Linked DNA regions of Tamandua tetradactyla. The protein of the gene in region 1 purifies or fractionates together with the protein of each later gene. This does not show direct contact. Links are inferred from orthologs where the notes say so. Each region holds a gene or a part of one and is shown in the gene's direction. Other genes may lie near its edges. The genes, in order: BCCIP and EIF6.

Region 1 (15,470 bases):
ATGGACTTTATTATTTGGAGCAGAAATTTAACTTAGGAAACCATTACTTATAAATTAATATGAAGATATTTCTGGAGTATTACATATATCCATGGGACATCTTTGGAAAATCTGGCCCAAAATGAACTTACTTTTTTAAAAACTTTTTTTTCAGTTGTGAAATATAACATATACAAAAAAGCAATACATTTCCAAGTACATTTTAAGTAGTTATAGAGTAGATTTTAAAGTTTGGTATGGGTTACAGTTCCACAGTTCTTTGCTTTTTCTTCTAGCTGCTCCAAGACACTGGAGACCAAAAGAAATATCAATATAATGATTCAGCAGTCATACTCATTTATTAAATCCTATCACCTCTATTACACTCCTTTTTTTTTCTTTTTTGTGATAACATATTCAAAAAAGCAAAAACATTCAAAATACATCGCAAGAATTAGTTGTAGAAAAGATTTCAGAGTTTGGTATGGGTTACAATTCCAAAACTTTAGGTTTTTACTTCTAGTTGCTCTATGGTACTGGAGACTAAAAGAAATAACATAATGACTCAGCAATCATACTCGTTTGCTAAACCCTACCTTCTCTGCATAACTGCACCATCAACTTTCATCTTTCACCCACTCTTTAGGGGTATTTGGATTATGCCCATTCTAACTTTTTCATGTTGGAAGGGGCTGTCAATAATATGGGATAGGGGGATGGAACTAGGTGATGTTCTGGAGAGGCTGGCCCCTCTGCATTTCAGGACTTACCTGGTTCAGGGACCCATCAGGAGGTTGTAGGTTTCTAGAAAGTTTCCCTAGTGCATGGAGCCTTTGTAGAATCTTATACAATGCCCTAGGTATTCTTTAGGATTGGCAGGAATGGCTTTGGTTGTGGTTTGGCAAGTTATGATAGGTAGCAATGTCTAACTGAAGCTTGTGTAAGAGTGACCTCCAGAGTAGTCTCTCAACTCTATTTGAACTCTCTCAGCCACTGATAACCTTATTTGTTACACTTCTTTCCCCCCTTTTGGTCAGGATGGCATTGTTGATCCCACAGAGTCAGGGCCAGGTTCATCCCTGGGAGTCATCTCCCATGCCGCCAGGGAGATTTTCACCTCTGGATGTTATGTCGTATGTAGGGGGTAGGGTGATAGAGTTGGGCTTAGAGAGAGCGAGGCCACACATGAGTTTAAAAGAGGTCCTTTTAGGAATATCTATAGGTAGGCTAAGCTTCTCCACTACATACATAAGCTTCACAACAGTAAGCCTCAAGATCAAGGGCTTGGCCTATTGATTTGGGTGTCCTTAATGTTTGACACAGTATCCTGGGTTTTCCTAGTCGTAAAGTTTAATAGGTCCATAATTTTTCTCCTATCTCTCAAGGGACTTTGCCAATAGTTTCTGATTATCTGCTTAATACACTCTGGGATGTATCTAGGCATTACATTAAGGTATCAGGATTAAGGTACAGGATTAAAGGTGCTCATTCTTACTCTGTGCTTCCTGCGTTTGGATTGTTTAAATGATCTATCCAGATGTGTTGAGTTAGATTATGTGCTACAAAAAATTTAGGTTCTGGACAAAATAAACCTTTCTTCCTTTGGTCTCAAAGAGTAGGTGAAGTTCTAAAATACAGACAATGTCTCCCTTAGCCCTGTATTTTGAATTACCTTAATCCCAATCTTACTGGCTTCGTTCTTATCTCTAAATACCAGCTTAGACATATATAAAGCAGCTTCTCAAAATCCAGAAATAACAGTTACCTCTCTGGACTAAATGTGACTGTTATAAGAGTTTATCCTCTAGGCCCCAGTTTTCTTATAAGTGTTTTATAAATTAGATCATACAACATTTACTCTTTTGTTTCTGGCTTAGTTTGCCTCCACAAATGTCCCACAGGTTCATTCACATTGTTGCGTGCTTCACAACTTCATTTCTTTTTGCAGCAGCACAATATTCAATTACATGTACACACCATTGTTAGCCAATCTACTCAGACACTGTGTTAGTTAGATTCAGTTGTCAACTTGGCCAGGTGAGCATACCTAGTCTTGCTGCTGCGGACATAAGCCAGTGGTGCGTGAACCTCATCTGTTGCCAATTACATCTGCAGTCAGCTAGGAGGCGTGTCTGCTGCAATGAGTGACGTTTGACTTAATTGGCTGGTGCTTAAATGGGAGATTGCAACGTAGCACTGCTAAGCAGCTCAGCATTCCTCATCTCAGCACTAGCAGCTCAGCCCAGGCCTTTGGAGATGCAGAAAGAAGTCACCCCGGGGAAAGTTGTTGGAACCCAGGGGCCTGGAGAGAAGACCAGCAGAGACCATCTTGTGCCTTCCACATAAGAAAGAACCTCAGTGAAAAGTTAGCTGCCTTTCCTCTGAAGAACCAACAAAATAAATTCCCTTTTATTAAAAGCCAATCCGTCTCTGGTGTGTTGCATTCCGGCAGCTAGCAAACTAGAACAGACACCTTCATTTACTGGGCCTCATGTACAATGTCCAAAGCCAACAGTCCATCAACACTCTCAATTTTAGATGATTTCATTGTTCCCAAGGGAAAGATAACCAGTAAACATGCCCTCACCCAACAGAAAATCCAAAACTCTCCCCCCATTATGTACCCCTGTTACTGCTGCAGTACTGTCGATGTTTTCCTATTAAGCATAGCCCATAGCATGCATTAGTTTTCCCCCATACCTTGAACTTATATACTCTTTTGTACAAGCACATAATGAACTGCTTTTTAAGCAACCAAACCTGGGTGAACAACTAATGATTATGAAATCAAGTTCTAATTATTGCAGTTATTGAGCTGTTAGCTAGAGATTGGAGACTTGGAGAAATGGACAGTATCATTTCTATCATTTCCTGAGGTTACTCAAAATGTGTTTCTTACAGAAATTGTGACCCAACCCTTCTGCCATGGTCAGTTTTAGGTGTCAGCTTGGCTAGGCTATAGTTTCCAGTTATCCACAACTATAATCTAAGAGTTTGCTGGGAGGTATTTTGTAGAAGTGGTTAATCAGTTAGTTGACCAAGAATGGGATATTACCATAGACATTCTAGGTGAGCCTGATTCAATCCCTTGAAAGGCCTTAAGAGCAAAACTGAGGCTTTCCTGATGGGGAAGAAATTCTATCTGTGGGCAGCAGCCCTTCCTGCTGGCTTGTCCAACATATTTCAGGCTTGCCTAGCCAGCCCCCCTACAGTCGTGTAAGCCAGTTCCCTGGAATCACTCTCTTACTGTACATTACCTCTGGCTGTTTCTCTGGCTAAATGCTGACTGAAAAACCTTTCAGTTTTGGGTCTGCAAGTATCTGGCATGACATTGAGTGGCAGGTAAAACTTGGAATTTCTGCTAAAGAACAATTCCTTCTGGGGATGAAAAAGCTGAAACATCACACTGTTGGCAGCAGGCAGCCCTGTGGGCACACATGTTTTCTCACCCTTACCAGGTCCCTGCCATGGGCCTGGGCTCTGGGATACAGAACCCCAGACACTTTTCCAAGGGATGGTCTAGCAATGTTTTCAAATACCAAGGGTCATTCTCTCAAAAGTACATCTCACCAGCCAGGGCCTTCACATCAAAGAAAAATTAAATGCTGTCCTATTTTGGCACTTATTAATTTGGATCTCATTAATCTTGATCTCTGCTAAGAGTTGCCAAACCCATATCCTAATACCAAGACTTAGACTAAGAAAATCTTCCTGGAAGAAATTACATTTAAATGAAGACTGAGTGGAAGTAGCACACTGCAGGAGCTCTGAAGAAGAGAATTGTCTAGAACAGCTGGAATATTTGAGGGGGAAGTGAGGGGGAAGGGTGAAAGGCAGGCAGGGCAGGATTTGTGGGCTGCTGGCACTCAGAGGAAGACATTTGATTTACCTTACTAAAGTTACTAGCTTCAAGTTGACGGATTTATTTCTTCTCCCCTTTTCTCATTTCTGCTTGCCCTTTTCTCTTCCTCATTCTCTACTGGGGAAGCGTGATGCCACAGCACAAATACAGGACCAAAGGTCCCAGCATCATTACTTACTCATGGGGTAATCTTGTTTTCTGCTCTATCAAGCCACAGGGCTGTTAAGTGACTGAAAGGAGGTGATAATAACAGTGATGCTTACCCAGTACTTACCACATGTGACACACAGTTCTGAGTGCTTTTCAAAAATCTCATTGAGTCTATGAGGTTTATCCCACTTTATGGATGAGAACACTGAGGTATATCAAGAATTAAAGTCAGCCAAAGTCTCAGAACTAAGAAGTGGCAGAGCTGGGTTCATTCACCCAGGCAGTTCGCCTCCAAAGTCTGCGCCCTCAACCCTGACGCTATGCTGCCTCTCACATGCTTGGATACAAGTGTTCGGGAAAACACACAGGCGTGAAGATATCAAGTATTACCACAACACAAAGTGCTTACTTAGTTGAATAGTGCAAACCCATGAAAGCAAAATCAGCCTACCGACTGTAAACTGGGAAAACGTTTCTTCTGGGTTCTAATCTATGGCTCTCTTAGGTAATGAAAATGATGTGAATGTGAAGAAGCTCATAATAACTGCTAAAAGATTCCATTAGATGTGCTCTAGCATTGGAAAATAAAAATTGAATTACTACCCTCGTGGCTTCTTTGCTGTTGTTGACAACCTCTCTGAGGGAAAATGAGGAAGAACCATTATTGAGCATCTTTGCTGTACCCGAGACCCATATTATCAGGCGCACTGAGAAAGAAATCAATTGATAAGCACATCACTGCTAGTCACATTACTACTCTTCTTAGTGATTTAAATTTTGAAGTTTAAAATGCTTTGAGAATAGATTTTTCTTTCCATAATTGGGACTATTCTCTGAACTACTGGGCACGTTCAGCTCAGGGCCAGGTCCAAAGAGCTCAGAGAAAGGTCAACAGACACCTCCTCAAAGAGACACAGAGGGTCCCAGAAGGCCCTTCAAAGCCCAGGCCAAGGGACTAGACAAGAGGACTACCCTCAGTGAAGGAAATAGCCAAGGGGGAGGACTGGCCAATGGGGGCAGAAAGTATTTTTAGAGCTCAGTACAGTGTCTTTCATACTCAAGAAACTCACATTCCCACCATCTCCAAAGCGGGCAACAATTAAGAAGAGGAACACAGAAGCCTCCTCATTGTGACTTCTTACCCACGCCATCTCTGATTCTTGGGCACACAGAGAAAGCACAGTCAACCTAGAATGTGCAATACCACAACGAAATCGGTTGTAACTCTCACGAAAGTGAACTGATTTTTGGGGCTGTCAGAGGACTGCTGTCTCCTAAGAAAAATTACTTCTGTGTGTTCCCGGCACAGCCAGTACTCTTATTTTTCTAACAGGGGAAACTGAGGTTAACAGAGACAAGGGGACCCGCATGGACACAGGTAGCCGAGGCAGAGCTAGTACTAGGACCTGGTTCTCTGGGGTTTCTGTGCAGTTCTGTATGATCAGCTCAGGCCAGTTACTCCATCCAAAGACTTCTGAGAGGACGTGGACAATCATCCATTTGAATGAGCACCGAGTTAGCATGGCATTTTCAATCAACTATGATGCTTGTCGCTTGGGATTACATCTTAATTACTTTTTCTTATTAATTTCCCTCCACACTGGGTCCTTGTGATTTAACTTTAAAAGGGATCTTCCCTCATTCTTCTATCTTGGGGCAGGGTTGGTGAGGGTATGCTAGACTTTTTACCTTATAGTTGGGGTGACCATGTATCCTAGTTTGCCTGGGACAGTCTCAGTTTACATCTGTTGTTTACATCAGTTAACATATGGTTTAATTGTTAACAGTACCCACTTTCTCTCTCAAAAATATCTTGATTTAGACAATAAATTATAGAGTCATCTTATTTCTAACAGCTATGGATGCTCAAAAAACATTCTGTCTTACAGCTCAGAGGAATGGAAAAGGCACCGGACTAGACATGAGGAGACTAATTTCTTTTCAAGAAATTGGGGGCAGATAGTATAGTAAATGAGTTCATTACAGTATCAGATGCATGCTGAATAGGTTGAAAATGTGTGAAGCCAGCTGAGATGCTTTTATTGTCCAGTGTCTAGAAAACTCTAGGATTTAGGGTAGGCAAGGGATTTTTACAAAAACTGGAACAAACTCCTGGTGGTAGACTGAATAGTGCCACCAAAATATATGCCCAACCAAAACCTTAGAATGTGACCTTATTTGGAAAATAGTCTTTGCAGATATAATTAATTAAGGATTTCGAGATGAAATCATCCTGGGTTTGGGGGTGGGGGGCACTCTCAATTCAATGGCTGATGACTTACAAGAGAAAAAAGAAGAGAGATTTGGACACAGAAATACAGGGAAAGAGGCCATGTGACAATAGAGGCAGAGATGGGAATGATGAAGCTACAACCCAAGGAATGCCAAGAATTGCCAGGAACCACCAGAAGCTACGAAGAGGGAAGGAAGGATTCTTCTCTAAAGCCTTTAGAGGGAGCATGCCTCTGCTAACATCTTGATTTTAGTATCATGCCTCCAGAACTGAGAGAATAAACCTCTGCTGTTTTAAGTCACCTAGTTTGTGGGAATTTGTCATGGCAGCCCCAGGAAACTAACATACCCCTTCTCAGCAAAGCTTTCTCCCAAAGTCCAAAGTGGGATAACTTGGCTCACCTATGACCCTCCACATCTGAAAGCCTGAGCAGACCCTGCTAGTTTCCTTCTGATCCTTGCTTCTTTCCCGTTTTTACTGCAACACAGGTAGCAGGAACTCTTTAGAGGAGAGAGTGTTCTTTCAACTTGGTCACAGAGAAGTGCAGGAAGAAAGGAATTTCCATATGGACGTGATCCATCTCCAGCAGACTTATGCCTTCAGCTTGAACAAGCTAAGTTATCCCACTTTGGATTTTGGGAAAAAGCTTTGCTGAGAAGGGGTATGTTAGTTTCCTGGGGCTGCCATGCCAAATTCCCACAAACTGAGTGACTTAAAGGGGCAGGGATTTATTCTCTTAGTTCTGGGGGGCATGATACCAACACTTAAATCTGGGTAAAGTACACTAACATCCATGTTGTGGCCAAGACAAGAGAGTCTCAGGAAAGATGGAACTTTGGAGAACACAATCATGGGAATTCTGAGCTAATGGGGACCTTTAAGATATTCTAACTTTATCTCCTGCTGATGAATAATTACTGAGAAAAGGTCACAAAGTTTTTGATTCAATCTCTCAGCCATGCCAACCTCTCTATCTCAGCATTCCATTTTAATAATCACACAGATCTAACCCGTTCTCCTCATTTTACAGAGAAAAAAATGGAGAGCCATTGACTTCTTTCTCAGAAAGCTGATGTGTTTTCTAAAGAACTATTTTAAAATGGGCTGCAAACTGGTAGCCTGTGGGATAAACCTGATTGGTAAATGGACTTTATTTGGCTCAGCTTTAAAAACCAAGATAGGGTAGATCATCGTGGTTCAGCAGGCAGAGTTCTTGCTTGCCATGCCAGAGACCCGGGTTCGTTTCCCGGTGCCTGCCCATGAAAAAAAAAAAAAAAAAAAATCAAAATAGCTCCTGTAAAAATTCAGAAACCCAGCTTCTCCGAAAATGGAACTATCTGACAGGACTGGGTCCATATGGCAGCAGCTGGTTGCAGGTGAGCAGCAGCTGCCACCGTCCAATGGGGAGATACCCTAGACCCTGCTGCAGTCTTCTCCACTCCATTCTCTCAAATCTGGCTCAGGGCTGTAATTTAGATTACCCCACTCGGCCTGAAGCATTTATGGTTGCGATTCCTGCTTTAAAAAAACTGTCAGGTCAAGGAAATGCACCGAAAGAGGGTTAGTGAGGGGCAGGGATTCGAATCCGATTCAATCACCAATCGGCTGCGCCAGAGCTGTGGGGGGCAGACACCCGAGGCTCGGATTCCATGACCTTCCACAAGAGCGCACCCAGGCCAGGGCCCACCTCCAGCAAACAGCTGTGTGGAGAGGCCAATCCCGATTTTGTCGCTTACTCGCTAGTGACCACGGGCGGGTCCCTCCAGGCCTGCGGGCCCCATGTCCTGGTCGGTACAAGTGGGCAGCGATACCTACCTTGCGGGCAGGAAGCCCCGAATAGGCTAAGAGATGGGATCGTGCCCAGTCAGGGTGCGTGCATCTCCCAGTCCCAAGGAGGAGGCTGCTGAGGCTGCAGGGGCAATGACAGAGGGGAGGTCACCCCCATCAACACGTCTCCTGAATTGCCACTGCTCCGAGCCGGGGAAGGCCCCGGAGCAGCCAGAACCTAATACCCAGGGTCACGCAGCTGAGAGCTCGCGCATGCGTTGTGAATCCAAGTCCGAGGTGGGGGGGCGCTCCAGAGTGGGTCGTACCACTGCGCGAAGGGGCGGGAGAGCTTTATAGGGAAAGATGGGACAGGATGGAGTTGGAAAATGCTGACATAAAATATCAAACTATATTCGATTCTGCGAGGTCAAGGCCGTGGACCAAGCAGCGTCCTGGGGTTGATGTCGACTCACTGTCGAGGTTCTTCTTAGTCTTCCACCCCCTCGGCTTTGTGGGTCGGTCCTAGAGGTCAGGCGGGGCGGCCGCGCAGGCGCAGTATGCAGGGCGACAACATGGCGTCCAGGGCTAAGAGGCGTGCGCTGGGATGTGGGGTCTCGCGACCGTCTGGGGCCCCGGCCCAGCGGGACGAGGAAAAAGAGAAAGAGGAAGTCGAGGATGAGGAAGAAGAGGAAGAGGATGAAGACAGTGACGAAGAAGACGATGAACATGACGAGGTTGTTGACGAGGTGAGAAGCACACGTGAGCTCAGTTTGGTTGACATCTGGGAAGAAACTTTCTGGCACTCACAGCTGTGTGAAAATGGAGTGAGCTGCTTGGAGTAGTCCCCTCATCCCTGGGGGTCTGTAAGCAGAATCTGGAGGTGATAAAGTCTCATTGAGGTCCTACTTGGGTCTATTCTCCCGCTGCGGGCGCAGTAATTATTTTCAGTCCTCCCTGCGCGGGTCCGCCCTCTACCCCAAGAGAATAATCCGCCACTACGACAGTCTTCGCTGACTTCTGTAGTTTTCAGGCTGAAGTTCCCAGCCCTCAAAAGGCAAACAAGGGCCTGCAGAGTTTGTATTCTACTTACCACTCCAGCACCTGTCTCTCACTCGCTTTGTATGCTTCAGCAACATTGGCCTCTAAATTTCTTAAAGGCTACCTGCTTTGTTCTACCACAGAGCCTTTTAAAATGCTGTGCCTTCATCCCAGTTTTCCTTCTCTGTTCACATCTCATTAAGCTGTGTTTTCTTCTTGCCCAGGGCAACTGACCTCCCCAAGTCCAGGTCAAATTCCTTGATTGTGTGTTCTCAAAGATTTCTTCAAAATAACTCCTATCATAGTGCCAAGTCAGTATTTGTTGAACGAATAATTAGGATGGAGAGCAGGCCTGGTTGACCCTTGGGAATGTCTAATAGGTAACACATGGACCTGAATGGACATGTAATTCATGCCACCCTCCCCTCTCTCCAGTTGACCAGTTGTTCCAACCCCAGGCTTTGGAGTTAACTTTAATTATTCCCTTTTCCTCATCCTACATCAAGACCCCAGAGAGGACTTCCTTGACCACCTATCTATAATTTGTTTCCCTTACCTCTTATCCTGCTTTATTCGTCCTTGAGGATCTAACATTTCTTGCAATTATATATTTATGTGTTAATGTGCTTATTTATCTGTCTCCTGTGCTAAACTAAGGTCTAGGAGGGCAAGGATTTCTCGCTTATTCACTTCAGTATCTTCAGTACCTATACAGTGCTTGGCACATAGTAGTCACTCAATAAATATTTTTTAAATGAATGACATCTCTTCCAAATTATCCTTTCTGAGTCTATTCCCTTATAAATAAAATGGAATAACTTATCTGACAGGATGATGGTAAGAAATGAATGAGATGATATGTGAAGCATTTCGATTGTGCCTGGTAGGTGATGAATACTTGACAGCTGTTGTAATTATTTTTCACTTGGAGATTCTGAGATATGCAAAGTACAGGGGAGGAAAGGGCTAAGAAGGAATGAGCATGGAGGAGGAGGATGTAAAGTGTGGATTCTAGATTAGGGGTTGAGACTGTGGTGACTAGAACTTTCTGTACAAATCAGCTCTTTACTTTGGCCCCTTGTCATGAATGTGGTTTCACCATTTTTCACTCAGAACTTTGGTTCTTTTGCTGATTTTGGGTTACAACAGCATTTGTATATGGACATTTGGATACTCTGGAGAGTGTGTGTAGAGGTGGGTAGGTAATAAGACAAAAGTATTTTGTAATTTCATCATTGGCATGCATTACTTTAAAAAAAACCTTTATTTTTAGAGCATTTTTTAGAGCATTTTTCCTCCCTTCTCCGTGTGAATTTTCCGTTGTTAATATCCTTCATCAGTGTGTTATATTTGTTACAATTGATGAACCAATACTAGTACATTATTAGTAACTAAAGTCCACAGTTTACATTATAGTTCACTCTCTGTGTTATAAAGTTTTATGGGTTTTGACATAGCATGTATCCACCATTAGGATATAATGCAGAATAGTTTCACTGCCCTAAAAATGCCCTATCTCCTGGCCCTGTTGCTAAAGCCTTGGCAACCACTGATCTTTTTACTGTCTCTCTAGTTTTATCTTTTCTACTTTGCCAGAATGTCATATAGTTGGAATCATATTGTATGTAGCCTTTTCAGTCTGGCTTCTTTCACTGAACATAATGCATTTAAGGTTCTTCCATGTCTTTTCTTTTTTTCACTAAATAATATTCCATCGTATGGATGTATGAAAGTTTGCTTATCCATTCACCTGTTGTCAGATATCTTGGTTATTTCCAATTTTTGGCAATTATGAATAAAGTTACTATAAACATTTGTGTGCAGGTTTCTGTATAGATACAAGTTTTCAACTCATTTGGGTAAACGCCTAGGATTACAACTGCTGGGTCATATGGTAAGCTTATGTTTAGCCTTATAAGAAATGCCAAACTGTCTTCCAAAGGGCTGTGCCATTTTGTATTTGCACCAGTAATGAATGAGACTTCTCTTGCTCCACAGCCTTGCCAGCAGTTGATATAGTCAGAGTTTTGGATTTTAGCCAGTCTTTAACAGGTATATAGTACTATCTCATTGTTGTTTTAATTTGCAATTATCTTATGATACATGATGTTGAACATCTTTTCGTATATTTATTTGTCATCTGTATATCTTTGGTGAGCTGTCTGCTTACCTCCTTTGCCCATTTTTTATTGGGTTGTTTTCTTCTTGAAAGTAGTAGTAAGAGTTCTTTGTCAAATAGGTGTTTTCCAGATATTTTCTCCCAGTCCATTAGTTGTCTTTTTCTTCTTTTAGTAGTGTCTTTTGCAGAACAGAATTTAAAATTTTAATCAAGTCCAACTTATTGATTCTTTATTTCATGGATTGTGCTTTTGCGTTTGTTTTTAAGAAATCACTGCCAAGCACAAAAGCAGTAGATTTTCTCCTTGTTATATTCTAGATGTTGTATAGCTTTCTAGTTTTGCGTTTTACAGGTAGGTCTGAGATCTGTGCAAACATTACATTTTTAAAAAAATGTGTCTGTTGAGAAATCTTTACACACATAGAGTCCATATATGGTATGTAATCGGTAGATCACAGTATCACCACAAAGTTTTGTATTCATTGCTACCATCATTTTTAGACCATATACATCACTCCAGAAAGAGAAATAAAAAGAAAAATTGGAAAAAACTCATACATCCCATACCCCTTATCCCTCTCAGTATTTCAGTCTGCCCATTTTTTTTTACCCCTTCCCTCCTATTATTTATTTACTTTTTATCCTTATTTTTTTACTCATCTGACCATACCCTGCATAAAAAGAGCATAAGACACAAAGTTTTCACAATCACATGGTCACATTTTAAAAGCTATATTGTTATGTAATTGCCTTCAAGAATCAAGGCCATTGGAACATAGCTCAGCAGTTTCACTTACTTCCCTCCAGCCACACCAATACACCATAAACTGAAAAGGGATATCTATATAATGCATGTTCTAGTTTACTAGCTGCCGGAAAGCTATATACCGGAAACAGAATGGCTTTTAAAAAGGGGAATTTAATAAGTTGCTAGTTTACAGTTCTAAGGCTGAGAAAATGCACCAATTAAAACAAGTCTATAGAAATGTCCAATCAAAGGCATCCAGCCAGGGAAGGATTCCTTGGTTCAAGAAGGCCGATGAAGTTCAGGGTTTCTCTCTCAAGTGAGAAGAAGGCACATGGCGACCACTTTCAGGGCTTCTCTCTCTGCTGGAAGCGCACATGGCGAACACAGTGTCATCTGCTAGCTTTCTCCCCTGGCTTCCAGTTTCATGAAGCTCCCCGGGAGGCGTTTTCCTCTGTTGTCTCCAAAGGTCACTGGCTTGTGGACTCTGCTTCATAGTGCTGCAGCATTCTCTGCTCTCTCCAAATCGCCATTCAAGTTTAACAACCACTCTTGATTTAATCACATCTCCAGGAAGATGATCCGATCACAGTTTCAAATTCACAGTATTGAATAGAGGGATTTTTCTGCCTTTACAAAATGGGATTTAGATTAAAACATGGCTTTTCTAGGGGACATACGTCCCTTCAAACCAGCGCAATGCATAAGAATAACCTCCAGGATAACCTCTTGACTCTGAAATCTCAGCCACACAAACTTTATTTTGTCTCATTTCTCTCTCTCCCCTTTGGTCAAGAAGGCTTTCTCAATCCCGTAGTGTTGGGTCCTGGCAAGTCCCAGGAGTTCTGTCCCACATTGCCAGGGAGATTTACACCTCTGGGAGTCATGTACCATGTAAGGGAGAGGGCAATGAGTTCACCTGCCAAGTTAACTTAGAAAGAGAGGCTACATCTAAGCAACAGGAAAGATTCTCTGGGATTGACTCTTAGGCATAATTATAAGTAGGCTTAGCTTCTCCTTTGTAGGAATGTTTCATAGGTGCAAACCCCAAAATTGAGGGCTTAGCCTATTGATTGGTTGTCCCCACTGACAAGCATGACTTTTTTTTTAAGACATGCCATGTTCATGTATTAGAAGACCCAATATAACTAACTGTCACTTCTTCCCAAATATAGATTTGACACAATTCCAATTAAATTTCCAGCAGCATTTTTTGGTGATACAGACAAGCTTATAAAATTTGTATGGACAGATAAAGGATCTAGAGTAGCCAAAACAATTTTGAGAAAGAACAAAGTTGGAGGACTCTGGTACCAAATTTTAAAAAATACTTTAAGGCTATAATAAAACAATATGGTATTGATGAAGGGATATACTCATAAATCAGTAGAACCAAATAGGGTTCAGAGACACCCACATGAATATGGCTGATTTACTTTTGATAAAAGTGCAGAGACTAGCACAATAATATAAGTACACTGAGTGAAGCTGAATGTGACTGGTTGAGGGAGAAGGGCTGGCAGCCCATACGTCACCAGAAGGAAAGATAGAAGATAAAGACTGAAACAGTATAATTTAGGTATGCCTAGAGTGGACAATGATGGTGATTAAATGTGCAAATTTAAGAATGTTTTGCATGAAGGAGAACAAATGAATGTCAACATTGTAAGTTGTTGAAAATGGGATGATATACAGGAAAAAATGCAATCATTGCAAGCTAGAGTCTATAGTCAGCAGTAACATTGTAATTTGCTTCCACTGAAAGCATTACATTTTTGACTGAAGAAACCTACTGTATCTACTGCAGTTTCCTGTGCTGACATTTAGTGGATTTTTACTCCTTTGCTTATTTGAAAGTGGTCTTCATTTTTTGAGGATCATGCATCCACACTTCATTCCCTGCTGTAGAAATCCATGTGAATTATTTTGGAAATTCAAAAACTACTACAGGTCGCTTTTAAAATAAGAGGGTATATAAGTAAATAAGAAAATGAACAGGGCTACTTAAAGCCTTAAAGAACATAATTTTTTTTATCATTTTTTATTGTGAAATATATACAAAAAAGCAATACATTTTGAAGTACATTTTAACAAATTGTTATAGAACAAATTTCAAAGTATGGTATGGGTTACGGTTCCACAACTTTAGTTATTCTCATTGTTCTAAGACCCTGGAAACAAAAAGAAATATTAATGTAATGATTCAGTAGTTATACTTGTTTGTTAAATTCTATCTTAAAGAACGTGATTTTAGAAAGTGCTTATAAAGACTTCAGGGAGGAGTGTGAAAAGATGAGAAGAAGAAAAAGAATAGGTTTGTTTAGTTAAGGTTCTTGTGGGTAAATAGGTAGAACTCCTGTTTATGCTTAATATAAATGCAGATAGCTTCAGCAGAAAGGGGAATTTGTGAAAAGGATAACAGGGATTTTGTAGACCTCAAGAGCCAAAAAGCAGCTGGCCCTCTGGATCCCCAGGCCTGGAATTCTATAGGAACCCAGTTCCCTCATATTTCATCTCTTCTCTTCTCTATTATATTCACAATACTTGATATTCTTTCCCTTGCTATTCATATAGCAGAAGATGGAAAATGCAGCAGCCATTGAGATTTTTATTCAAGAGAGCGTAGGCTAGACAGCACATTTAGTCTTAATACTAAATCACTTGGAGGTGAGCAGCAGAATATTCTTTTATGACTACAACTGCTCCCACTGAAACCAAAAGGATAGGGAATCCATACCTGGGGAAACTGGTGCTGGGTGGATTTAATGGTTAGATTCTGATGTCAACTTGGCAAGATAATGGTGCCCAGTTGTCTGGTCAGACAAGCACTGACCTGTTACTGCAAGGGTATTTCATGGCTGGTTGATAAACCAGTAGGCTGGTTTATTGACTCATCAGTCACTTGATTGCATCTGTGGCTGATTACGTCTACAATCAACTAAAGGCTCTCCAGAAAATGAGATAATCCAGTCAGTTGGATTTGATCCAAGCCCTTGAAGACTTTTACGGGAGAAGAGAGAATTTTCACTGCTTTTTCTGCCAGCCAACCTCTGCTGTGGAGTTTGTCAAGACCCTTCATCAGAGATGTGAGCCTTGCGGCCTGCCCTATGAATTTTGGTCTCTTAATTTCCATGGAGACACTTTTATAAATCTTATATTTACGGATATCTCCTGTTGGTTCTGTTTCTCTAGAGAACTCTTACTATAACAGTTTGGTATTGAGAGTGGGGTGGCTATTTCCTCAGGGTAGGCTGGAGGTGGGGTGGCTGTTTCTTCAAGACAGATCATTACATGTCTTTCTAGCAAAGACTCAGCAGAATCAAGTGTTTCAGTGTCCCCACTGCTATCATTATCAATCCGTTGGTCCCCATCCCAAGTTTCAGGATCCCATTCTTTTTTAATCAAAGCCTTTACTTTTTAAAAAATATTTTTATTGAGAAATCTTTGCACACATACAGTCCATATGTAGTATGCTCACTGTATCATTGTATAGTTGTATATTAATAACCATGATCATTTTTAGAACATTTGCATCACTCTAGAAAAAGGAATAAAAAGAAAAAACTCACACATACCA
Region 2 (15,724 bases), on another chromosome or scaffold:
GGACTCCGTGAAACCCCTGAAAATGCATGCAAAGCTAAGTCCTCTTGGCATCTCTCTTAGGAAGGAGTCCATGGCCTTCATGAACTTCTTAAAGAGCTTATGACCCCAAAACTAAGAACCCCAACATTAAAGAACATCTGAGCTGTCCCCAACTTACAGAGGAGGATGAGGCCCGAGAGAGGCTGGGCCTTGCCTAGGGAGGTCCAGTCAGTTGGTGAGATAGCGCTCTGGGCTCAGAAAGAGACGAGAGCCCTTGATATGGCCCTGTTTCCTGGCCCACACCCCCGTGGGCCCCTCATGCACAATATCTCCAGCTGGGGCTGGAGTGGGGAAGGGGGCTTTGGTGCAAGGGCCTTGGCCTGGGCTTGAGGGCTGAGCTTTTAGCTGTGCACTGGCAGGTAAACAGGAATGGAGGCTGCTGGGCTCAAAGAAGGGGATTAGGGGGCTCAGGAGAAAGAAAACAAGGAGGGCTAGAGGCTTGATGTCTTCAGGTAGGGATGGATGGTCAGTACCTGGGAAGGCTCCAGCCACAGACTCACATAGCTTTGCCGCTGGAGCCCAGACCTCTGTGACTCAGGAGAAGGGGAATGAATAAGATGACCCCTGGCAGGAGTTAAGGTAGGGTCTGGGATGCAGCCCAGGAGACTTCTGCTGTAGAAATTTGGAGCCAGGTTACCCGAGTCCCAGTGGTGTCTTTGCCAGAGCCTCCCGGTGCCCCAAGCAAGGGAGAGCCAGGCCTGATTGGCATCAGGAATGGGGTTATTAGTGAGGTGGTTGCTATTGCTGTCATCATCACCCCTACCCCTTTGATCTCTCCTGCCTGTCCTCGTTCCCCCAACCCCTGCCCAGGCCTGGGCTATGGATCTTGGGCATCTCCCATCGCCTTGCCTCCTCACCCCCATCTGGACCTCTCCATCCCTTGGTCAGGAGCCAGGCTTCTGAGCTCTGTCACTGACTCTTCAAGTGCCTTTGCAAAGCACTTCCCCTGCCTTGCAGTCCAATGTCCTCATTTGTTAAGAAGGCAACAGGAAAGGAACATTTACTGAGCTTCTGTTGTGTGTGGAGCATTTCCACGTTTAAATCTCATAACTCTGAGACATAGCTATTATTAGCTCCATTTCACAGATGAGGAAGTTGAGGCCCCCAGAGGTGAGCATCTTGCCCAAGGCCGTATCACCAGGAAGAGCAGAGTCCACATTCGAATCCAATTTTGTCTGCCTCCAGAGCCAGAGTGCTTTGCTCTGCATCTCCCAATTCTCAGCCCAACTGGGAGAAGAAATTCTGACAAGCAGATACATGCAATGGGAAGAAGTGGCAGTTGGGGTCTTGGGGATGCTGGAGGGTTTTCTTGACTTATCTGAAGCAGCCTGTTTATAGAAAGGACATACTAGTCCAAGCCCCTGACTGAACAGAAAACTTGGTTTCTCTTGTTGTGGGTGGAAGTGAGGGAATCCATGAGTGTAAGGTGTCATGCCAGACATCTGCAGCTTCACAGGGAAACCTGGGGGAGGGCTGCAAAGGGCTTTGAGGACCCCAGAAACAGTTCTGACCATTGAGGGGGAGGTCTCAGGCAGACAGACAATCCCTGGGCCAGAGCTAGGGCTAGAGCTAGCAGGGAGAATGCAAAGAGCTGGACTGGGAACCAGGGGGTCTGGCCTCTGCTTCTGACTCCTTCCCTACTCTGGACCTCAGTGTTTCCCATCTGTAGAGTGGGGCTTTAGACTAGTGCAGTTTATTCAGACATCCTTGAGAACTGATGACAGAGAAATACTCTGTCCCCAGAAAAGTGCACACAAAAACTTTCAAAGAACTTCTGGAGCTTTAAGACAGTCAAAACTCCCTGAGCCCAAGTTAACAACCCCTAGACTAGGTCATTGCTAAAGGCCCTTCCAGTTCACAGACTCTGACCTCCTGATTTTAGTTCAAGGTTATTTTCCTGGGCTCTCAGTCCCTGTCCTGCACTGGATGTGGGCAGTGCCCTGGGCAGGGCTGAGCTCCCTCCCCTCTCCCAGGTTGTGGCTGTGGCAATGGACATATTCACCGACATGGAGCTTCTGTGTGACCTCATGGAGGCCTCGAGCCGGCGCGGTGTCCCTGTCTACCTACTTCTGGCCCAGGAACACCTGAGGCACTTCCTGGAGATGTGCTACAAGATGGACCTCAATGGGGGGCACCTGCCGGTCAGTGAGGAGCAGGAGCAGGAACCAGGGATGGGGAGGTCAGAGACAGCAGAAGTCAGCTGGGTGGTCGGAGGGCACTGGGGTCATTGAGGGTAGGGTCTGGGTTCTCTTAGCTGTTTTGGGTCAGAGACCCCATGGGGCAGAGAAGGCTTGAGCCCAAATCTCTCAAGGTCCCAACCTCCCTCCCTCCTTGGTCCAGAACATGCGTGTGCGGAGCACATGTGGGGTCACCTACTGCAGCAAGGCTGGCCGCCGCTTCACTGGGAAGGCCCTGGAGAAATTTGTCATCATTGACTGTGAGCAGGTGGTGGCAGGCAGCTACAGGTGAGAAAACGGAATGAACAGAGGGGGTCTGGAGCAGTGTCATGGGTGGTGGGGGCATCTCAGATCTGGTCACCTTGAACTTTCCTTTATTTATCCATCCCTTCTAAAGTGTACTGTGCCCCTACAGTGTGCCAGGCATTGAACAGGGCTCAAAGAGATGGGGTGGGGAGTAAGACAGCCCAGGCTGTGCTCTCAAGGAGCACATTCTAATGAAAGGATTACTTTAATGCTCTTCGCATAGAAAATAACTATTTCACATCAGAACTACGAGGACTTCAGGGAACCTCACCTCTGGTCCCTATTACAGATGGGGAAATTGAAGCCCCAGGATGGGTAACCACTTGCCCAAGTGCATTCAGCAGAGCTAGGACTAGCTCAGAGTTAGAGCTCTGTCCCCTTCACCATAGAGCTTTCCTGGTCATTTTGATCCAATATTCTGGTATGCCTCTGGGGCCTGCCCTTGCCACCTGTTTCAGTTTGCTAATGCTGCCAGAATGCAATATACCAGAAATGGGTTGGCTTTTACAAAGGGGATTTATTAAGTTATAGGTTTACAGTTCTAAGGCCATAAAAACGTCCACACTAAGATGTCCAGAAAAAGATACCTTGACTCAAGAAAGACCGATGTCTGTCATATGGGAATGCACCTGGCTGGCATCTGCTGGTCCTTGTTCCTGGTTCTGTTGCTTCCAGCTTCTGATTCCAGTGGGTTCCTCTCTAAGTGTCTGTGCACCTTCACTTAGCTTCTCCAGGGCAAAACTCTGGGTTCTGGTTTGCTTAGCATCTCATGGGAAGGCACGTGGTGATGTCTGCTGGGCTCTGCATCTCCAAACATCCATGTCTAAGTATCTGATCTCTGTCAGTGCTCAGAGCATCTCCAGATGTTTGCATCCATGTCAGCTCTGGGCTTTCTCCAAAATGTTTCCCCTTATAAAGGATTCCAGTAAACTAATCAAGACTCACCTTGAATGGGTGGAGTCACACCTCCATCTAATTGAAAGGCTACACCCACATCTGGGTGTGTCACATCTCCATGGAAACAATCCAATCAAAAGGTCACACCCACAATTGGGTGTGTCTAATCAAAGGGTGGCACCTGCCAGTCAGGTTCCACCCTACAATATTGAGTCAGGAGTAGAGGAACATGGCTTTTCTGGGGTACATATCAGTTTCAAACCAGCACACCACCTGGCCCTGATCCTGACCTTCTGCCCCCAGCTTCACGTGGCTTTGCAGCCAGGCCCACACTAGCATGGTGCTACAGCTGAGGGGCCGCATCGTAGAAGACTTTGATCGGGAGTTCCGCTGTCTGTATGCTGAGTCACGGCCCGTGGAAGGCTTCTGCAGTGGGGAGGATCCACTCTCTCCCTGGGCACCACGCCCTCCCCCTGTCACCCTGGCCTTCGGGCCTGGCATCCCCAGTCCCACGTCCTCTTTGCCCTCTAGCACCAGCCTCAGCAGCATCAAACGCTCACCTCTCACGGGCCACTCCTCCTACCTTGCGCTACCAGGAGTTACTGGCTGCAATGACATGGGTCTGGCGTCCTCGTCCCTAAACCCTGCCCACCACGAGGACAGTGGCCAGCCCTCCCAGCAACGTCAGTTGTCAGACCCTAATCACAGCTCCCCACGTGGGCCCTATAAGGCCAACCTGGGCAAGCTCGGGGCGTCTCCCTGGTCCCAGTCCTCTCCTGCCCTCAACCATAATAGTGCCAGTCCCCTCATCCTGGCAGTGGGGTCACCTCTACTTCCCCACTCACACCCTCACCTCCCCATCTCACGAGGGGGCACAGTCCTGCCCCGGCTCCCAGAGAATGGGCTCCTGGCTTCCCAGGAGCCTAGCCCCCCAAGAGGTCGGTGGATACCTGGTACAGGCCTGGAGATGATGGAGGAGAGAAGGACATCTCTGAGTCAGAGCCATGGCCAGCAGGATCTCTTGGCCGCCCTCCCCACAGCTCAAGAAGCAGGAGGCCCTGACTCTGAGGTTTCCGCCAACTCAGGCTCCCATTGGCCTGGTGAGCAGGCTCCAGAAGACAGGAAGATGTCCCCAAGCCAGAACTACAGCCAGCTGGACCTCCTGTCCCGGGCCCAGGGTGCCAGGGGCACCCCTGAGATAGCCTCCTCCAGAACTCGTGATCAGGCCTCAGAGGACAAGAAGCTGTCCCTAAGCCATAGCCACAGCCATTTGGACCTCCTGGTGCCATACCCAAAGGCTCTGGGCTCTAGAGTGCCCCCTGAGGCCAGCTCCCCAGCCAGGCCTGGCAAGCAGGGCCTGGATGAGCAGCAGCAGATCCTGGGCCACAGCCAGCTGGACCTTATTGCAAAGTCTGGCCCATTCTGGCGTGAGGGGCTTGGGCCCAACGGTCTCCCTGGACCAAGACCCACTCACAAGGCTGGGGTGGGGTCTGGGGATGAGAAGCAGATGACTCTGGGCCACAGCAAGCTGGACCTCATCACCAAGTATCACCAATTTCAGGGAACCAGGCAGAGGACAGAGCCTGGCCTTCCTGGGAGTCCCACAGGTGGCCACCACAACAGTGGTAGCAAAGACGTGTATGGGGGTGAGAAACGCCTGACCCTGGGCCACAGCAAACTGGACCTTATCACCAAGTACAACAAGTCCAAGTTTAAGCTGCTCCGAAGCCGCTTTGAGTCCTAGCCCCACTCTCAGTGAGACAGGTCCCTCCTTCATCCGCTGAGATTCTGAACTCTGGGGTGGGAGCTCTGGGTAGCGGCTACATGAGGAGGGCAGGGATTCTAGGAGTGCAGATCAGACCTCCCTGGGCTCAGAATGTGTGCTCATTTACACACACACACACACACACACATGGGGAAATGGAACCCACAGTTATTGAGCATCTATCATTTGCTGCTGTGTTGGGCTCTTGACAACAGTTACCTTTTCTCATCAGTCATCCTCATAACATCCTACAAGGTGGGCCCCTGTACATATAATAATGATAGGCCAATAGGATTATCCTCCCTATTTTATACCTGTGGAAGGTGAAGACCAGAGTTTGTATGGCTTGCTTGGAATGAGCTCCAAGTAAATGGCAGAGGAGGGTCCAAACTTGTGCCTCAGCGACTGTAAAGATTATGTGTTTTATACAAACATGGCACACAATACTCACAATTCATATGTCCATGCACACAAAATACATCACAGAGAGGTCCCAAGTACCTATATAACACACACAACACACCGATAGGATACGTACGCACAAACAGCACACCCAGAGACACATGCAGTCAATAAACACACGCAGATCAGTGTGATAAACCAAAACACTCAGAAGTCTAGTTGTAGGTACAGTAAATTTCACTTGGTTAAATGAATGGCTACTTGAAACACGTGTGTTGAGTGCACACTATAGAGCCCCTTAGGATTGACAGACCATAGCATGCACATGACCCACCCCCCACCCCCCCACCCCCCCCCGTAACTTCTTGAATCTAAGCTATAGTCCCAGTCCTGTGCTGGGCATGCCATAGGGCCAATAAATGAATCAGACTTAGACCCTGGGAGATAAGGATTGAATGCACAAACCACTGGAGAACAGAGCAGAGCTGTATCTAATTAAAGGCTAATTGGTGTCAAAGGATAGTAGAGATTTAAGGGTGTAGAGAGGATGTTAAGGAAGGTTTCTTAGAGGAGGTGGCATTTGAGCCAGGCCTTGAAAAATGGGGAGGATTTGGCAGACGGAGAGAGTAGGAAGGATTTCTGGTAGAGGAAACCAGGTAAGGAGAGGCTCAAGGCTAGGTCTGATGAGGGGGTCTGAGATAAACTGAAGAAGATAGAGTGAAGGAATACACACACACATCCCTGTGCACACATATACACATGCAACATACACACATCATCATCATCTTGCTGTGTGTCTCCTAAAGCATAGGCTGTGATGGGCTATGGCCCTCTTCCTGAGCTTACCCACTGCCTGAGACAGGCCACATAATACAAATCAATAAATACAGACATGGCTATGACCCAGCACCAGCCTGGCTTATCCTGAGGAATGTGGAGTTATTGTACTGCATACTGGGGGCAGGGGGAGGGAACAATTCAGGCCAGTTTGGGAGAACTCCCTGGAGGCAAGTGGATGGCTGCAGGAGGGCTAGGTGGAGGTAAGGGGCTCCAAGCCCCCTCTCCCTCTCTGTGACTGAGAGACCTTGGGACTTTTGCAGATTCTGTCAAGTTCTGCAAAATTCTTCTGTTCAGGACGGCAGTCCAGGACACCAGATCACCACATCCTCAAGCCCCATAAGAGTGGTCCTTAGCTACCACCATCTATTTTGAGGATCAAAGGTGGCTGCGAATGAATGATAAGTACTTATGCCTCAAGTAGGAGGGGCATATGGTTAAGCCCTTGAGCTCCCAAACCCTTGCCCACCCTGGATCCCTCTCCCTCCAATTTCCTCCTAATCTCCTTCATCCATCTTTCCCTTCTCTTCAGCCCGGATTCCTCCTTCTCCAGCCTTTTTTTGTGCCGGTCTCGCCCTTCCCTACAGAACTCCTCTCTCTAGGGTCCCCATTCACCCCAGACTTCAGTAATAAATCTCATTCCTCAGCCCCTCACGGTTTCCTGGGCTCCAGACCCGGCCATCCTCCTACTATCTGCACATTTATCCGCCGCCTCCCACTCAGTATGGCAGAGTTGGCCTCCTCGCCTTCCCCCAGACCTGCTCTTCCTCCTCCTGCCTTATTTCAGTAAAACAGCACCATCAGCAACCTATTTTCTTCTACGAGCCATCCCCGACTCCTCCTCGGCCTCTTGCCTGAGATCCGACCAGCAGCAGGTCTGAGGTAGGCAGTCCCTCCTAAAAAGCACCTGAACGAAGGAGGACATGCAAACAAGCTGGGGGCGGGGCCAGGAGGAGTCACTACTGACAATTTGCAACCATAGAGGCCTCCCGGAGGCCGAAGCTAGAGTGGCCGCATGCGTGGCAGGGCGCGTCCGGCTTTCCCGAGAGTCTTCCAGCTCCGGGACGGAAGCGGAAACCTATTTCGGTAGAAGAAGGGATTATCGCCGCGTGTGGAGGGTACGGTTAGTCGGTGAGTTTCCGCGAGGGGAGGCCGAGAGGGTCAACTCTGGGCATTCCGGTTTGCGATGGGTGGGGACTGGAAGACTCAGAGCCGGAGAGTCTGGACGGGTTCAGGGGACGGGGCCGGAGGTTTGAGAGGCCGAGCTTGGGGTGTTCTGAGGCCGAGAGGGGCGGGGTCGCAGCGGGTCTGAGGGGCCGGGGTCGGGGTGTCAGGGCCAGGGGAAGATCGGCCGCCTCTCAATTCCCGATCTCTCAGGTTTCAGGCTTCATGGCGGTCCGAGCGTCGTTCGAGAACAACTGTGAGATCGGCTGCTTTGCCAAACTTACCAACACTTACTGCCTGGTGGCCATCGGAGGTTCAGAGAACTTCTACAGGTGCCGCGAGAACCCTGCGCCCCGAGAGTAGTGGGTGGGTGGGTGGTGGGGAGGGATGCTGGGAGCCAGGGACTCCTTCGGAGGAGGGAGGACATCAGCCCGTCAGCCCCGTGACCACCGAGTCCATGTCCCCACAGTGTGTTCGAGGGCGAGCTCGCCGATACGATCCCCGTGGTGCACGCATCAATCGCCGGCTGTCGTATCATCGGGCGCATGTGTGTGGGTAAGGCCGGTGGAGGACGCCAAGGAAGTGGAGCTTCCCAGCATCTCTAATTATAGCCCTGGAGTGGACCCAGAGTGACCTAGGGATTTCCAGTCTTTCTTCGGTTATCTCTGGGAACTTCAGAATCTCTAGATACTCAAGGCTGGGAAGGACCCAGTCTGAGCGCCCACAGTTATCAGGGCAACCTCTTTCAAAGGCTTCTGGATGGTAGTTTTCTGATAAGAGTTTTCACTTACATGCCTGATCTCATTCTTTCTTCCCAAAGACCCTGGGAGGTAGGAGAAATTATTGGCCTAATTGGATTGATAAAGAACTGAGACTCCCACAGACTCCCACAGTCTTAAGTGACTCACCAAATTCCACACCTAGTGGAATCTTTTTTCTCTTCCTTCTGACTCTGGCTAAGTTGCTACTTCTTTACAAGCATCCATTTCCTCCTCGAATAAAATGAAAAACTGAGATTCAGGGTCATGCTGACCAGTTATCCTTTGAGATCTTAAATTCCTGTAGGACATTTCTGAGTGGCCTCTTTCCCTGCTGCCTACCTCTTAGCAATGTTGACTCTGACCATTGGTTCTTTCTCTGAGTTGAATCTGTCTCCCTTTACTGCTACCCCTTGTTTCTAGCTCTGCCCACTGAGATCAACAGCAGTGTATTCCCCCCCCCCCCTTTTTTTTTTAAACCTTAAGCCTGGTCACTCTGGCCTCTGAGTATTTTCTTATTCAGGCAAAATACCCTGATCCCTAACCATGACTTTAGGTCTTGAAGCAAATTCTGATGTACAGGGGAATTTATCCTGGCCCTGAGTGTTTTTTAGGCTTCAGAAGTTCAGAATTGTGGCCTTCTAGATATAGGCAGAGATTTAGCCATTGTCGTTACCACATAATTATTTGCTGCATAGTACATTTTATTTAAGTTTACCACAATGTATTTATTATCTGTTCTGTTGACAATAGGCATTTTGGTAGTTTTAAATTTTGGTTATTATGAATGGTACTACTATGTTTTTTAATGAACATATGTATATATTTTATTTGGTATATCTATCCCTAGGGGTCAAATTTATGGGTGGCAGGGTATGTGAATCTTCAACCATAGTGGATGATATCAGATAATTATTTTAAGTGACCAGTTTACACTCCATCACATTGTATTATAATTTAAAGTAGCAAAATATACAAAAGACTCCTTTCTGCTAGTTCTTCTCCCTCTTGGTTAATGATAGGGAATGGACAAGGTGGGTTGGGACATGCTCCTCAGCCATTGCTTGCCTGCCCACTGGGACTTCTGGTCTCCCTGAGGGTTATATGGATCAGTGAATTGGAGGACAAGGGTCTGGGCCTTAAAGCTTTCCTAGAGAAGTTGATTTGGCTCAGTGGACATCTTGTGTATTTATTGTCCATCCTTGTCCCATCCCCCAATTTGGGTCCCTCCAGGGAACAGACATGGTCTCCTGGTGCCCAACAATACCACTGACCAGGAGCTACAGCACATTCGCAACTGCCTCCCAGACTCAGTGCAGATCCGGCGGGTAGAGGAGCGACTCTCGGCCCTGGGCAATGTCACCACCTGCAACGACTATGTGGCCTTGGTCCACCCAGATCTGGACAGGGTGAGGCAGCTAACTTGGCCAGAGAATCACGGGTCATCCTACTTAGTAGTTAGCCACTGTTCTTGCTTATCAGGTGGGAATTAGGGGCATCTCTTATGGCTTCTCTTTGTATCTGGGCTCATGTTAGCTTACTACTAGGCACTCGTAGTATTATTAACAATGTACAGAGGCCTTCACTGGTGCCATCACTGTCAGAAAGAAGGTGGGGAGGATAGTAACTCTTTAGAACTGGGGACCTAGAAGAGTGACCTCATCCTGTTCTACAGGTCAGGATAGGTGATTGACAGTTGTTGAATCCTTGGGTGTGGGGTAGAGGTAACAGGGTGGCTGTGGAGACGTGTCACTGGCTGTTCGGAGTATACATGGCTATTAGAGGTGCCATAGCTGACCTAGACTCTTCTTTAAGCTGTACCCTTTCCTTTCTCTGGGTGATGCTTCAAACACAGCTAAATAGCAGAGGAATGAGAGATTCAGGGTGCTAAACCCTGGATCATTCTGGGCTTGGAGCACCCCTGGGTCTTTGGCCTATAAGTTCTGGGCCCTGACTATAGTACCTTTACTGACAGGAGACAGAAGAAATCCTGGCTGATGTGCTCAAGGTGGAAGTCTTCAGGCAGACAGTGGCTGACCAGGTGCTAGTAGGAAGCTACTCTGTCTTCAGCAATCAGGGAGGCCTGGTGCATCCTAAAACTTCAATTGAAGATCAGGATGAGCTGTCCTCTCTCCTTCAGGTTCCCCTTGTGGTAAGCATTCCAGTTCTCTGACCCTGTCTCCTGCTGAGGCAGATTCCTTTGCCCATTGGCCATTACCTGCCACATTTTGGGATTGGGCTTTGGGTCGGAGAGGAGAGACTTGGCTGTTGGTGCCATGACCCATTTGAGCCCATCTCTTGCAGGCAGGCACTGTGAACCGAGGCAGCGAGGTGATTGCTGCTGGGATGGTGGTGAATGACTGGTGTGCCTTCTGTGGCCTGGACACAACCAGCACAGAGCTGTCAGTGGTGGAGAGCGTCTTCAAACTGAATGAAGCCCAGCCTAGCACCATTGCCACCAGCATGCGCGATTCCCTCATTGACAGGTACCCGGGGCCTCTCTACTCTTCTGCCAGAGTGGGGGTTTTCACTTTGCTTTCTGAGGTAGGGGAAGGGCTTGTCCTCGGAGGCCCTAGCTTATAACAGATAATAGTTTGAATAAATTATTGAGTGAATTGACCCATTTGGGTGGGGAGGGTGTTACTTTCAGTCTTTGAGCATTGATAGTTCTAGACTGGAAGAGTGACTCAGGATGCATTCAAGCCTGGAATCTGGATGGGCCAGTTGTGCTCCCAGTGTAGCTCTTGATCTAGGGGTAAGGGTGGAGTCAAGTACCTTGAGAATAGAGGGTGGGGTGTGCCCCCTGAAGCAGCTACTGACAGTGTTCCTTCTCTCTTCAGCCTCACCTGAGTCACCTGTGCTGCTCTATGGGCTCCTGCCTCTGGACTTTCGCTCCCTCTCCAGGCCCCACCCAGTTTGTTACCAGATGCTGGCATGGAGATGGCAGAGAGCTCACTGGGAGGAACTGCGTGGCTGGGTGCCCAGTGTTTCTTGACCTGTGCCTGTCTCCTGAGTTTATACTTACTGTAAAAACCTGCCATATTGTGCTGGCTGTCAGGTCCTGTGGCTCTTGGCTGAGGGCTCTGCTGTCTTGTGCCACCCATTAAAGGGCAGCTGCCTCTGGCTATTCTGAAATGTGTTGTTTGGGAGCCTCAGTCTGAGTCTGTTGTTCCAGGGTCCTGAGAGGGTGAAGTAGGATGTACACATATACCCCTCTGTTCCACTTCTCCACCCCCACGACCTGGAGCCTCACCCCAGGGCAAGAGGAAGCAGCACTTTGCCACTGTAGTTATCGCATTTTCCACCCAACTGCAACCTTGGCTTTCTCGGCTTCAGTGGAAGAGAATCTGCGGCACTTTTCCCCTGGGCCGTTTTGAGGATCCTCTGCAGGCTCTGAGAACCAGGCTACGGGGCAGCCTTGTCCTCTCCACCTAAGTTGGAAGGGAGTTGCCGGCCTCGCAGTCAGGTCTCAGCGACCAGGGGGGCGGGCCTCGGGGAGCTGGGGCGGGATTGGCCGGTTGCTGGCAGTCGGGGCTGTGACGCGTAGCTGTGGGTGAGGACCGTGCGCGCGACGTCATGACGCCCACTCCTCGGCCAACCCGCGAGAGAGCGGAGCCCGGCGCTTCCCGGAGAGGTCCCCGTGAACCGCAGTCCCGACTGCTTGAGGTGAGGGCGGGTCCCCCGAGACGCTGCGGCCGAGCCCAGACCTGCAGGCTCTCTCCTCCCGCAGACCATGGGGGCGCTGCTGAGCGGCGGCCAGGGCCGCCCGGAGCCAGTGCAGCCCCAGCCCACGGCTCCGGAGGACCCTAGGCGGCCCGAGCCCGAGCCCAGCCCGTGGGGCCCTCTGGATGACGTTCGCTTCCTCATCACCTGCACGTCCTGGTACTGACTCGGTACCTCCGGAGTATGCAGCCCGCACACCCGCCCGCTCGCCCAGCCGCGGCCTCCTCATCTGGCTTTCGTCTCTTCCCACGTCCTTGCGTCTGTCTTACCCCCAACCCCATCCCCGGCATCTTGGAAAGGACAGAATTCGGAGGGCCGACTTCCCAGCCTCGCCAGGGTCATCGTCTCATCTCTGGCCATTCTCCCAACCCCGAAAGTGTTATTTTTTCCAGCCTGAACCCAAACCTAGGTGAGACCTCCGTCCTCACCCCATCCCTCTCTCCGGTTTTCTGGATCCTGGGGCAGACCAATTTCAAGTCTGCAGTTCCTGCTGCCAATGGCTGAAGATGGAACCTCTACTCCCTGAATCAGGCCAAGACTTCTGCTAAGAACCCATGGCTGCTGACCTCACCTTCATCCCGTAATTGCTGAGAACTGGGTCAGTGCCTGTGTTTCATGGTACCATGTGCTGTGACCTAAGAGAAGACCTTTCCAGGATTCCGGTGATGCTGTACTCCCAGGACCCCGGTAACAGTGGGCCCCCAAGGCTAGCCTTTTGGAGACAGAGAACATTTCTGATGCTTGTCTGGCAGGGATGTGTGAGGCAGCTCCAGTCCACCCCAAAGCACATCATACCCCACTGCTCCTAGAAGCATCCTGAAGCCAACATCAGAACTTCACCCTTGTCTCCACACTCCAGGAAAATGAAATGTTCTGTATTTTTGTTTTATTTAGAAATGATTTAAAAAACATTATACAAAGGCTGATCAGTTTAAAATGTGACTGACACTGAAATGCTGTGATGTCCCCCAGGCTGAGGGGAAGCTGGGCTCTGAGGCCTCATGTGCTTTGCCCCTCTGTCTGCCCTGTCCTGGGGTGATGGACAAACAGATGACCACAAGGCAGGAGAGCCAGAGATTGGAAGCCTCCAGGCTGAGCCCTTCCTGGACCTGGCCTTGCATCCCTCACATCTGCAGCCTGGGCTGCCTGCCTCCATCTCCTGCTCTTTCTCAGCTAGCCTATATGGTGCCAGGAGCCAACAGGGAGGAGCCTGGGAGGCCAAGAGCCTTTAAGAAGTGAGAGCACCAACCTGAGGAGTGGAGAGGGAATGGGGGAGGTGGGCAGAAGTAGAAGGAGACAGATAGAGGAGACACCTCTGATCTCATCTTGGACCCTAGAGGGGTCCACAGGTGAGGACCCGAGGCCCAGGCAGCTCACTGGATGGCCTGGGCAAGTAACAGAACCTCTCTGCACTGTATCCAAGGGAAGGGCATGATGAAAGCCACCCTCAGCCTCCCAGGGCCTATGCACATTTCATGGGGATGGATGGATGTGAGCTAATAAAGTGCTTTGCAAAATATAAAACACTGTACAAACCTATGAATTGCTAATATCTCTGCAGTCGTTCCCCGCTGCCCCAGGGAGCCCGCCCTTGGCCAAAATGAGAACAAACAGAAGAATGATGACAAGGGACACAGTGGACCCACATAGCTCCTCTGGGACAAGAAAGATTTTGCTTGAGACAGCTCCCAAGACAGCAGGAGTCTCTGTGCTACAGGGTAAGCGGGCCCACAGCCAGAGGCCATGGGGCGGGGCAAGGCCCATGTAGGTTCAGAGGGCAAGGGAAGCATCTGAGACCCTGCCAGCACCCTGAGGGCTGCCTGTCACCACCTCTGGCTTTGACAGAGAGCAGCAGGCATTGCTGAACCCACTGGTTTTATCTAGGGTGCCTCAGTGACAAGCAGGGCTGCCTCTACTGTGTTGGAGTGAGGCAAGATGAGCCCTGGAAATTCCTGCCAGAGACAGTGAAGGGTGAGCCCAAGAAGGGTCAAAAAGAGGCTCTTAGGCTTGGGTCTGCTACCATCTGGGGGTGCCCTTTTCCTAAGAGCTGTGCAAGAGAAGGGGTGCAGTGAGCTGGTCAGCAAGGACCAACCTCATGGTATAAACACTGCTTCTAGGCTAAGAGACTGAGTTGGCTTCAAGGTAGCTGAGAATTTCAGAAGGCTGCCTTGGGCCCTGGAGCCATCCTTGCCTCACCTAACTAGTCCAGCTAAGCTCCCCCCAGCCTATAAATGACAAGCTGGAGCAGGGCTGGGGCCAGAGAGTGAGAAAGGGTTGATGGGGAAAGGGACAGGGGTGATGGCAGGAGTGGAGGGCAGTCACAAGCTCAAATCAGCCTCCAGATATGGGGTTGGCCCCTGCCCAGCACTTCAACCTGATGAGCAGGGCCCAGCTCATGGGGTGTCTGGGCTCTAGAGTAGCCTTAGCAGCACCTTGGTCCTTATCGCCTAGGGGAGAGCCAGACACATTGGCCTCATCACCAAGATATTCACCTCTAATTCACCTAAAGCCTCAAGCAGCCTTTGCAGAATGGGACTTTAAACAGTAGTGACAGGACGTTTAAATATTCTTGATGTGACAGCTGGGTCCTCATCAGATTCATCTGGGCCACTGCCCTGCGTGCAGCATGACCCTAAATCCTGGGTCTCAGGGGAGATCCCGGGCCTGTGGAGCAGGTTTCCTGAGGGATCTGCTATCTGCCAGCAGGGGAAACCCAGGTTTGAGGCCCACCATATTGGCAGCAGGGGTCCTGTAGCCTTGGAGGACGTGGGAGGGAGTGGGAGGACATCTGACCAGCAGGTGTTGGCAAAAGGGGGCCAGGACTGGTGGCATCTCCCAGGTGGGGTTGGGAGAGCTGGTGCTGGCTTTCCACAGAAGGTGTAGGCCCCAGCCAGGAATGGAGCTGTGGTGCCTCACGGGCAGGCCCAAGGACTCAGTGACCTCAGAAGTGCCTCCTGGTATGGTCCCTGTCTCCTGATGGGGCCTGGGCTATTCCCTTAGGTAGGGAATAATTTGTCCAGGACAGAGGGCTGGCAATTGGATGCCAGACGCCCACCCTGGGGCAGAGCCCTGTCACTCCCTGCCCCACGCTCAGCCTAGGCTAGTACACCCACCACTTCAGCTGCACGACCCCTGACCTTGGGCCCTGTTGACCCAGGTGGGCAGTGGCCGGAGCTGCCCCTCAGACCCTGGTAAGGATCTGGCCAGACCGAGTGGACAGAGAGTGCCCTGGGCTGCTCACACCCACTCCTGGACTGGCCGCTTATAGTAGGTGACAGGCTGAGGGCCTGCCTTGTTCTTGAACTGGAAGATGGTGTAGACCAGCACCAGGATGCAGAGGGACAGGATGCAGGGGATGACCACGGCCACGGCGTTCACAGAGCCAGGCACGTCGTTGATGGTCACCATGATGTCCACATCGTCCTGGGGCAGCCGCCGCTCCTTACGCCGCTCCACCTCCTTCTGGTTGCATCCCATCCAGTCACGTAAGATGTTGCGTGGATAACCTGGCTCCACGCTCAGTTTCTGGTTGTCAAACTTCCAGTAGTCCCGGCCCTTGTAGAAGTAGGTGTAATCTGCAGAAACATGGCCCAGCATCACCACTCCCAGATACTTCCCTGTACCTGCTCTGGGCCAGCCCCAGAGGCCAGATGACT

What was found.
Region 2: the proteins of BCCIP (region 1) and EIF6 purify together in Homo sapiens (affinity purification with mass spectrometry; 3 studies listed by BioGRID and IntAct, counting the BioPlex papers as one, with this or other methods). This does not show direct contact. The link is inferred for Tamandua tetradactyla from reciprocal best matches to the Homo sapiens genes BCCIP and EIF6.

Annotation. Positions count from the first base shown.
Region 1 is NC_135339.1:88,371,305-88,386,774, forward strand, and holds the start of BCCIP (BRCA2 and CDKN1A-interacting protein), read left to right. Parts: upstream 1-8,547; 5' UTR 8,548-8,548; coding exon 8,549-8,737; intron 8,738-15,470. UniProt on the Homo sapiens protein: During interphase, required for microtubule organizing and anchoring activities. During mitosis, required for the organization and stabilization of the spindle pole.
Region 2 is NC_135327.1:17,251,822-17,267,545, forward strand, and holds EIF6 (eukaryotic translation initiation factor 6), read left to right. Parts: upstream 1-7,426; 5' UTR 7,427-7,554; intron 7,555-7,564; exon of another isoform or gene 7,565-7,673; intron 7,674-7,800; 5' UTR 7,801-7,812; coding exon 7,813-7,919; intron 7,920-8,056; coding exon 8,057-8,142; intron 8,143-9,578; coding exon 9,579-9,754; intron 9,755-10,320; coding exon 10,321-10,497; intron 10,498-10,649; coding exon 10,650-10,831; intron 10,832-11,185; coding exon 11,186-11,195; 3' UTR 11,196-11,480; downstream 11,481-15,724. Other genes in the region: protein FAM83C, read left to right, coding at 2,013-2,180, 2,380-2,504, 3,723-5,163; MMP24 (matrix metalloproteinase-24), read right to left, coding at 15,306-15,643. UniProt on the Homo sapiens protein: Binds to the 60S ribosomal subunit and prevents its association with the 40S ribosomal subunit to form the 80S initiation complex in the cytoplasm. Behaves as a stimulatory translation initiation factor downstream insulin/growth factors.